Neodiprion lecontei: one gene and its partner. Each later gene encodes a partner of the first gene's protein in a complex. Links are inferred from orthologs where the notes say so. Each region holds a gene or a part of one and is shown in the gene's direction. Other genes may lie near its edges.

What was found.
Region 2: WD repeat-containing protein 48 (region 1) and ubiquitin carboxyl-terminal hydrolase 46 share a complex: the UniProt entries of both Drosophila melanogaster proteins name them as parts of the usp12-46 deubiquitylase complex. The link is inferred for Neodiprion lecontei from reciprocal best matches to the Drosophila melanogaster genes CG9062 and Usp12-46.

The regions. Positions count from the first base shown.
Region 1 is NC_060264.1:15,796,164-15,801,420, reverse strand, and holds the start of WD repeat-containing protein 48, read left to right. Parts: upstream 1-2,165; 5' UTR 2,166-2,305; coding exon 2,306-2,353; intron 2,354-2,552; coding exon 2,553-2,769; intron 2,770-2,858; coding exon 2,859-3,071; intron 3,072-5,257. UniProt on the Drosophila melanogaster protein: Regulatory component of the Usp12-46 deubiquitylase complex. activates deubiquitination by increasing the catalytic turnover without increasing the affinity of deubiquitinating enzymes for the substrate.
Region 2 is NC_060265.1:2,717,405-2,723,013, reverse strand, and holds ubiquitin carboxyl-terminal hydrolase 46, read left to right. Parts: upstream 1-1,985; 5' UTR 1,986-2,305; coding exon 2,306-2,308; intron 2,309-2,478; coding exon 2,479-2,634; intron 2,635-2,812; coding exon 2,813-3,029; intron 3,030-3,124; coding exon 3,125-3,205; intron 3,206-3,291; coding exon 3,292-3,584; intron 3,585-3,687; coding exon 3,688-3,825; intron 3,826-3,895; coding exon 3,896-4,039; intron 4,040-4,117; coding exon 4,118-4,225; 3' UTR 4,226-4,869; downstream 4,870-5,609. Other genes in the region: lipoyl synthase, mitochondrial, read right to left, coding at 26-395, 485-643, 716-773, 872-1,028, 1,112-1,423, 1,520-1,582; 60S ribosomal protein L21, read right to left, coding at 4,947-5,426. UniProt on the Drosophila melanogaster protein: Catalytic component of the Usp12-46 deubiquitylase complex.

The DNA.
Region 1 (5,257 bases):
AGTCGCCGTTTTTATGGGTATCGATCGTTGCGAAGAACGATCCCCTTCTTTTACTGTGTCAACTTCTTCGTACCTTCCCCCTTTTTCTAGGAATTAAAATTAGGGCACGATATCTTCATCGCATGTTTGCCCGTGATCTTGGCTCTGTAGCTATTACTATATTGCAAGCTTTTTTATATATGGTATAACGCTGTGTTGGTGCGGTGGTGTGGGCGTAGGGTCGTTGCGCCGTCAGCTTCCTATCCGCGTCAGCTTTGGAGTTGGGGCAGCAATCTCCTTAGCTACCGTGCTTCCTCTCCTCTTTTTGTAGGTGTTAGGACCTGGGCCGATTTTAGCTGCTATTCCATAATATGGTAATCACAGTGCACGTGCGCTAGCGGTGACCTTTGTTTCGTGGTGTCATATGTCGCGGACGTTAGTGCCGTGTGCACTCTCGGGGTCACGATGCGCTGAGTTCTAGACGTAGTTTACTTCTTAAATATTCTTACTATCCTGTTGGTTACGAGGTCTATAAATTAAGATTACCATATCGGTTATTTTTTATTTTGTAAGTTTTATAGTGTGTAAATATGTAGAATTGCATATGTGTTATAATTAATTACTATCATTATTCACCTGGAGTACAATAGTGGGACATAGTTGCTATTTATTTAATATTAAATCTAATACTAGGATTGCGCTGCTGCGAATATTCTTAGGTGTTCGTGTTATAACAATCTTAAGAGATTTAGGGTATTTAACAATTTGATAATTCGTAGTTTTGGAGCTGGTTTACATATGTGCTTTTGTATAATCCTCTTCTGTAATTGTTAATTCTTATATTGATATAGATCGGCTTGAAAAGTATTAGAGCATTGTTCTTATGTTTGTTGGTTGTCTGTTACTAGGCGTTGCCACGTATACATCTTTGAGTTAATTCCTTGGTGTCGTACAATACCTGTAAGGAGCTAGGGATATGTTTTCTTACGTTTTACCTCAAAACTGGTACAAGCCTTGTTTACCTAAAAGGGTTGATTGTTATTGTATTGATACGTTAATTGTAATTTTGTTTGGTTGTTTCGCTTTACAAGATAATCCCATTAGTTGATTCATCTACAATCGTTTCGTCGTTAAGCTTCGTAATATGTTCTCCAGATGAGGCTCTATATGGCTCCACATTGGAGATCAGCATTACCTTCAAAACGCTGCACACGTTACCTACAATACGGCGTTACGGTGGAAAGTATAATTCATGACGGATATTTGGCATTCACGGTTTTGAATGTTTTGCAGTCTCTGGTGTTATGGATTATTGCAGCAGTGCATCTATCTTTATATAATATCGGTTATACATTTATCTATGGTTTCACAGTCTTCTACTCTCCAGATTATACGGTATAGCGTAAGTTGCATATAGTGTAGGTATCAGCTCAAAATGTGCAAATGGCATTGTCGAGTGTTTTATAATAATTGGATATAATGGTGTTAGTTAATCATAGTGTTAATATGATAATGATATATAATAACGTATAATAATATTATAGCTCTTTGTAGTGCGAACTACATCTCGTAACATGGTTTTTAAGCCTTGATTAGTGAATTTCATAGTTATTTCTATCTAGGGATATTCCAAATAGTTAGACGGTTGTTTTAATACCTTACGGTTACAAGATTGTTGTACGTCGAGTTTGGTTAGTTAATAAAAATGATAAATAATAATAACAATAATCGATAAAACATACGGACGTTCCGGTCGGATGTTACAGTACAGAGCATAAAATAAGTCTAGTCCATATAAATTTACACTGATCTCACGTAGGTATCCAATTATGACGTCACGCCACATCCTTCGCAATGACAGGGCGTTCCTTTCCGCCGGCTATTTTGTTTTATTCATTTTTTTTCAACAAATACAATTCTAAAATCCATTTCTACGTTTTAATTTTTACTTAAATTACATAATGTTAATAATATAGTAATGATCTGATAAAATTTTTTATTATCAGACAACCCTATTCATTTTCGCGATTCAATTTTGAGTCTATCTCGTAATTTGTCCAGAATTGACTGCTAGGACGTCACTTCTGATTGCTTATGAGCGCCTTTCTGGTGACTTGTTGAACCCCGTCGCTTTTCGGTGGTCACTTCTTTAGTTGAAAATCCATACGACATACTTTTCCTTGCCTTTACACTGCGTAGTTTATGCTGATCGTGAGTGGTGAAACGCGATCTAAGCTGAATTCGGTATTTCTCTTCCTATTTTATTAAAAATCGGACCTCTACGGTTTTCGATGTCTTCAAAAAGTGCTTAGGCCAAGTCTGGACAATGGCAGCACACAAGACAGGCGGCCAAAGCGCCCGGAAGAAAGTCCAGGTGAGTACGGATCAGTCCGTATAACCAAAGCTTAGTGAAAACGTAAACAAATCATCATACGAGATGTTAACATGACAGGTTACATTTATCATATATTTGTATGTAACTTCTTGTCCTACACCATCATTGCTCCTCGCAATGATGTTATTGCGTTACATTGCTCATTATCGAATCTTCCTTTCCTCTGCAACGGTAAAAGGTGTCTATGGTAATTAGAGACGAAGTTGAACGTAAGCATAGAGCTGGCGTAAACTCACTGCAGTATGATCCAGTATCGCACAGACTCTATTCGGCAGGAAGAGACAGTATAATTCGAATATGGAACTGCAAAAATATAAAAGAACCGTACATCCAGTCAATGGAACATCATACTGACTGGGTGAACGACATTGTGTCGTGTTGCGGTGGAAAGAATTGTAAGTCAAAGTGACTTCTTGCCACGTTGTCTTTCTTCTTTGATGCTTTCAAATTCTTTACTCTCATTTTGCTTTATCAATTTTCTCAGTGATATCAGCTAGTTCGGACACAACAGTCAAAGTTTGGAATGCTCACAAAGGCTTTTGTATGTCTACATTGCGTACGCATAAAGATTATGTGAAAGCGCTTGCTTATGCCAAGGACAGAGAACAGGTGGCCAGTGCCGGATTGGACAGAGCAATATTCCTATGGGATGTCAACACTCTCACTGCTCTCACTGCTAGCAACAATACAGTAACCAGTAAGTATGATCACTTGAATCTCGCTCATAGTTCTGCGATTGATGCAACATCTGGCTGCCACAATATTTTTAGGAATATTATGTTTTTAATCTTTATCATTGGTCTTCAAGTTCAAATAAATTAAAATGAACTGAAAGTATTATTTTCGAATTTGCTGGAATCAAAAATAAGTTCAAAAGAACATAAGGTTAAAATTTGTAATGTTAATATAACCACGCATACACAGGAAACCTGACGTCTGTAATGTCAGCAGAACCATGTTGGAAAAATCGATTCTTACAGATACCATAACTAGGTGCTCTTTAGGTGCTAATTAGGTGTCCTATTCAAAAATTAGATGCTCAATTCTATTACCGATAAGAAAGATTCTTCACTCTGAGCTGCTGACCCAATGTCATGCTAGTAGCGCATAGTCTGAAAATGTCCAATATTGGTTATGGTTTTCCATTGTTATGGTAGTCTATAAATGACTGCGCAAGAGTTAGGTGCTCTTTAACTCGAATTCATTGTCTTAAAAAATGTATTTACACTTCAAAAAATCGTTAAATAATAGCGGTAGAATAAAAATGGTTGACTCAGGAATTAGGTGCTTTTTAGGTGCTGATTGCCTGATTTAAGAGCTTTTAAATACCAGTGGTGACAATTTCTGATTTTCAATCCTTAGTAAAAAACAAAAAAAAAAAAAACCATCCTTAAAATTCATTGCAGCGATTTCTTTTTTATGGCAAAATGTTCAGCGATCTAAGAGCTAACCGGACATGAATGATTTGATTTTTGAGATACTGCCCCCTAATAACCCCCTGTTCCAATTTGTTTCCGATCATCAGAAAACTACCCTTCAAATTCATCGCAGCGAATTTTTTTTTTACAGCAACTCACACAACATGCCAGTACTCATCGTTTTGAATTTTGTTTTCTCCTCTCATCGTGATTGGGCGTGGATATATCCATAGGGGTTGTTTCTACGACATTTTTTCCAATGTATTTCAGGAGTTCCTAATTAGTTCCTAATTCTTACATGATCAAAATGATTAAAAAAAATTTTTTTTCTGTGGCGGGGCTAGCTTTTCGGTAAGCTGATCCCCCCACTTTACAAAATGGATTTTCTCGTAACAGAAACGAGCTCAAAAATCGCGGTTTGCGGCATTGTAGAACGCATAAATAGCTCCTTAATCTATGATTTAAAAAAAATTTTTGGAGCATGTGGAGAGGGCAGCTTTTTGGAGGTGTAATCTTTGTATTGTTCTCAAAATAAGCAGGATACCGCGCTCTATCCATATCTGAACCTCAAATTTCTGTACTCCTAAAGGCAACTGAAATATTAAAACTAAAATTTTCAAAAAATCAAAAAAGTTAATAAAAGTCAGAAAAAAGTCATTTTTATGGCGATTTATGAAAATTTGAATGTCTTACTCTAGGTCAAGAAATCAGGACCTATATAGAGGTGCCCGTTCATGCTGGACCTTGAATTGGAAAATTGGTATTTTTTTTGTTTAAGCACCGATTTTGCACAACCTAATAATCGCGCAAGGAGGGAGGTTTGGAATTAGATTAGGGATGGAATGAACCACCCAATCTTCGATTTTCCAAATCATCTGTTGAAATTGAGTATTGTTTCAAAGCCGTTAAAAGAACGGTTTCTCGTCTCCAAATTTGAAATTAAAAATTCGGAAACAATTTCATCTTGTAGGAAATTTTATAGCAAACATGAAAAGTGCTGTACATTTTTATGCTCAGAGCCGTCATTTCGGAATTATTTCAATTAAACTGATGGGAAAACTTTGGATTTGCACTAGCGGAATTTTTTTTATAATTTGCCGTCACATTCAGCCCGGCGCACATCGATATTCTCAAATGTTACATTTTTTGGGAAATACTCAAAAAAAAAAAAAAAAAAATGCGATCTTTCATTTGGTCAAATCATTAGTTAAAAGCTGTTTGGATGACTGGTCTAAAACGCACTTTAATCTAAAAAAACGTTTCAAAAGTTGTAAAAATTGAGTTTGAGATTTGCAACTTTTTAACTGAGCTTCAAATGATACTCCAAAGAAATCAGATGATGGATATTGAGATACCTTTATTATTTAGAAATTAAATAATTCAAAACTGTCTGAAGAATATTTTTCACTGCAGATTTCTGTGTAAAAAGTTACCCCAAGCAAAAAAATTACCAGCCGGGTGACTT
Region 2 (5,609 bases), on another chromosome or scaffold:
GCTATAAAATTCAGGATATAACTAGTTAGGTAGCTGAATCTTGTGTAATAGATTCAGCTTGACGTGACTTCAATATGTTTGTCAAGAAAAATTCACCAGCTTTATAAGAAGACCTCACTAATGGGCCACTTGCTGTGTACAGAAAGCCCAAATCATTTCCTACACTCTCCCATGCTTTAAATTGCTCTGGTGTTACATATTCGATGACTTTTAAGTGTCGTTTTGTTGGCTGCATGTATTGTCCCAGAGTTAAAGCATCCACTCCAGCTGTTCGCATATCTTGCATGGCTTGTTCAATTTCTTGTTCAGTTTCCCCCAATCCTAACATTATCGATGACTTGGTTATCAAATTTGTATTCTTATTCTTCGCACCTTCTAAAACGCTCAGCGACTGTCTGACAAATGTTGATATCAATTAAAGATGTTACTCAGCAAATGAACAGCATTAATAGTTATTTACTATGCTCATTTCGCTGGAACTCACCTATAGTGTGCACGCCTGTCACGAACAAAAGGTGTTAGACGTTCCACAGTCTCAATATTGTGGGCAAAAACATCAAGTTTCGATTCAACTATTTTTGCTACGCATTCCTGATTACCTCTGAAGTCTGGTACTAAACATTCGACCAACATATCTTTTCTCCTAAGAAAATAAGGTAAATTTGAGAAACAGCATTGAAAACGTAGCAAATGAAATGCATGATACAAAATTTACCGCTTTTTAATTTCTACAACAGTAGCTGCTATGTGATTTGCTCCCCCATCTGGTAAATCTGCAATGGGCAATGAATATCAAGTATGAGTTCTGAAAGTTGCTCTTTTTAAACTAGTTTCTATAACAGTAATGTTACATAAAAAAAAAATATTTCACCATCACGGTCAACTGATGTTAAGACAACGTAGTCTAAACCCCAGTCTGCGATTGCTACTGCCGTGTTGACTGGTTCGTCAGGATTAGGGGGTTGTGGAGTCCGTGCAGTTTTAACTGAACAAAAGCGACATCCGCGAGTACACGTGTCTCCCATGAGCTAAGGATTTATCACACATCGCCAGTTCATTTCACCAAAGAACAAATTATTTTAGATGATACTGATATATATAAAGTTCGAACCATGATAGTGGCTGTTGCAGTTCCATGTTCGCCACCACCCCAGCATTCTCCGATATTGGGACAACGTGCCTCTTCGCATACAGTGCTCAGGTTTAATTGACGAAGTTGAGATTTTAGCTTGCTGTAATTAGCCCCCATAGGTATTTCGGTCTTCAACCATGGTGGTAGTCGGAGTCGGTTTTTTTCCCCTTTTTCCAGTTTCAGCTTTCCTTCATAATTACTCGTAGTATCTGAAACAAAGTCGTGGAGCGTCGGCCCGGTTGCCAATTTGACAGTGAACTCGTTTTTGGTGCTCTCCTTGCATTTCGCACACTGCAAAATTATGGAATTAAGGTTTAGGTACAGACTGCTGGCAGTTAAGTAGGAAACTCAGCACACAGCCGTGGTGCAGTATCAACATCTACTTACGCTTGTGTGGAGATTGAGAGCCCCGGGATTTCCCAAGTATAAAATACGCACTGATCTCAACATTTTGACTGTCAGACTGTCTTCGGGTTGTGTTACATATTTTTGCGAATCGTCTAATCGAGAGTATTGCGATGAAATTATAAATAACCTTGAATGACACTACGCACTTGATTCTATGTATCTATGTGTGCAGCTCTAACCCCTAATACCTATCTGACAGCAATTGAACGGCGATGCTTTCGTAACTGATCGTAATAGTGTCTGCTATTTGAACATTGATAATATAAAATAGGAATACCACCGTAGATTAAAAAGTAGATGACTGAAACATTGCTCGGATATCCGTCGAGTTGTTTAGTAATTTTTCCAGTGTTTCAGGAACACGGAATAATCAAATCTACATGTAGTCGCATGTAATACATACATAATAATACGTACAATTCATACACACATTAATGGATACGTATGGGCATGCATACACGCGAGCTTTATCCTGCATGTTGCAATGAAGTAGTAAAATTTTTTCTTTTAAATTAGTATAAAAGTGTAATTAATTTATTTAAACAATTGAGGTGAAAGTGTTGATCCATTAATCCTCCTCCCTGTATCACACCGTATGAAAGTTTTTACTACGTTAAAACTCACTCTCCTGTTGTGATTGACAATGGTTCGGTCGGTCGTTTAATTGATATAAACGTGCAAATTGTTATACGATGGGGCTTAAGCTAACGGTGGAAGCTGTACTTAGCTCTTGTCAACATCCAGTTGATACTATCAAATCATAAAATGGTACGTTCTCCACAGAAAACCGTGTTCATACGATAAATCGCCGAAGATAACCTCGTCTTATGTTGTCTTTAGCTAACCAAAGCTAGTTTTAATTCTATTCTTTCCATTATTTGATACTGCTAATTTGTACACAATAATCTTAACTGTTGTATGGAATTTTGATACAATAGTGCGTTAACAATGGAAGAAATATGTTACTAAGAATGAGTCTCCGCCTTGTTTTCAATCTTCACATCCAATTCCAGGGTGCAAATATATCGCAGCTAGAAAGAGACATCGGCTCTGATCAGTTCCCTCCCAATGAGCATTACTTTGGATTAGTAAACGTGAGTATATCTCCAATAAGAAGGAATTGCTGAAATTTTTCTACTGGCTAAGTTTATCTATTTTCCACGGGTTGTATTATACTAGCTACTTCACCATGGTTAATTTTTTCTTTCTACTTGTTACAATCCATTTACAATCTATATATGGACTAAAGGATGGACTTTTTGTGTTGGACAGTTTGGTAACACGTGCTACAGCAATTCTGTATTACAAGCTTTGTACTTCTGTCGTCCATTCAGAGAGAAAGTCTTGGAATACAAAGCAAGAAATAAAAGAACCAAAGAAACCTTATTAACATGCTTGGCAGATCTTTTCTACAGTATTGCGACACAGAAGAAAAAAGTTGGCTCCATTGCCCCAAAAAAATTTATCGCTAGACTAAGAAAAGAAAAAGGTAGGTCGTTTTTTTTTTGGCAAGTTTTCATGGATGTGGTCATGAATGTATAGACGGTTGCATGTCTGAATCCAATTTTTTTTCCCTCGTTTCAGAGGAATTCGACAACTATATGCAACAAGATGCTCATGAGTTTCTCAATTTTCTCATTAATCACATTAACGAAATCATACTTGGTGGGTTTAATTCTGTAGAAGTATTGAAGCTACTTGTTCTAATTTAGGAATTGAAACCATAAGCAATATTTACCATTCACTCACAGCTGAAAGAAACCAAAGCAGACCTGCAGGCGGAAAAGGTGGGGCAGGAGATGCAGGATCTCCGCCAGAGCCGACATGGGTTCACGAAATTTTCCAGGGCATTTTGACTTCAGAAACTCGTTGTCTCAATTGTGAAACTGTTTCCAGTAAAGATGAAGACTTTTTTGATCTACAAGTTGATGTAGATCAGAACACTTCTATCACACATTGTCTGAAATGCTTCTCTAATACAGAAACATTATGCAGTGACAACAAATTCAAATGTGATCATTGCAGTAGCTACCAGGAGGCTCAGGTAAAAAAAAAAGTTACGCTGTATGTAAGCTTTAAGAACTTACGTGGAATAATAAACTCATTTTATAATGATACCACTTTTTTCAAACTGTTTTTTTTTACAGAAACGTATGAGGGTGAAGAAGCTGCCAATGATATTAGCGTTGCATTTAAAAAGGTTTAAATACGTAGAACAATACAACAGACACATCAAAGTTTCTCATAGAGTGGTCTTCCCATTAGAGTTGAGACTCTTCAACACTGTAAGTCGATTTATCTTTTACTTAAGACTTCCTTGCAATGCAATTGTTGGTGTCTGATCATCATTTTCAGAGTGATGATGCTGTGAATCCAGATCGATTGTACGACCTGGTAGCAGTTGTTATACATTGTGGTAGCGGTCCTAATAGAGGTCATTACATTTCTATTGTAAAAAGTCATGGATTTTGGCTACTTTTTGATGATGACATGGTTGATGTAAGTTCAAGGAATAATAACAAAACATCTCTTAGAGCCATATTGAGTTGAAGTAAATGAACCTATTGTTTGTCCCAGAAAATAGATGCAGCGACAATAGAAGATTTTTACGGCTTGACGTCAGATATTCAAAAGAGTTCCGAAACTGGCTACATTTTATTCTATCAATCAAGGGACTGTAGCTAGAAGTTGACTTATACTTTAGCAATTTAACATTTTAATACGAGTGATGATGATGATGATCCATGGGACTTTGCGAATGTTTAAATAGCATGCTGACGAATCGGTCGTTTACCTTAATATGCTATCAGATTTTTCAATTATTTTCTTGAACGTGTTCTACGCGCATTGGTATTTAAACAGTCGAAAAGAAGATATACTAGATGCATGCAAGCTATGATCACGTATGTGAAATCGATATGAGTATTCATCTATGGCAGACAAGCAATCAGAAAATGTTAATGTAAAGTTTATTTATTTTAATTACCTATGTTGTACTACGTAGAACTAGTCGAAACTGAAAATATGTAAGAGCTAAATGGAATCTTTTATTTAAAATACTCTTACCTTGGTTCTTATTATGTCAGTGATATTTAAAATTAACATGTTACAGGCACTATTATAGTACATTATTATTATTATTATTATTCGAATGTAAAAATATATGACTGATAATAAAAAATATTGCTATAGGCTTAGATAATTTTATTACACACCTTAACTTTACAAGTTTTGTTTTCATGCCCAAACAAGTCATATTTTCCTTTAGTCGAATACTGAGAATCTCAAAATAGACATTCCCACATATTTTGACAGATTGCCTTGATCAACTTGTCTGCGAAAATTGGGTGCGGATTGAATGAGTTGCAAGAAATCTTCAATGTCATATCAAGATGTTTATTACTTTTTAAGCTATAAATTCATAGGGGATCGGAGCTAGTAAGATAGGTGCTTCACGGCCAGAGACAATGTGGGCAGCAGATGGCTGGGCAGGCTGTCTCTTAAGCTGGACCTGGACGTTCTTGTCCTTTGCTTCTTTCCTCAGCCTTTCATTTTCCTTTACACGCTTGAGGAAATCCTCACGGCACTTGGAATGAGTGACATGTTCGATGCGGAGGTTGATGCGTTTGGCAATGATGCGCCCACGCACCCGCTTGTTGACGATGACTCCAAGAGCATGTGGAGTTACGTTGAACACACGTCCAGTCTTTCCGTGATAAACCTTGTACGGCATACCCTTCTGCACGGCCCCATTACCTTTCACGTCTACGATGTCCCCAACTTTGTACACTTTCATGTATGTCGATAATGGAATGGTTCCATGTTTCCGGAATTTGCGAGAAAATAAGTCCCTCGTACCACGACGATAACCCTTTGAATTGGTCATTTTGACAGTCTAGTCTGCAAGTATATTAACAATTTGTCACTTTTCTGTGTAAATAATTATCCAGCGATGGATCGTGGGCTTGTATTGTTCGATTGATATTGATGGGGAAAAAGATTACGGCGGACTTAAATACCAACGGTACAATGAAAGCATGGAAATGTTGGCTAGCGTATACACAAGTAA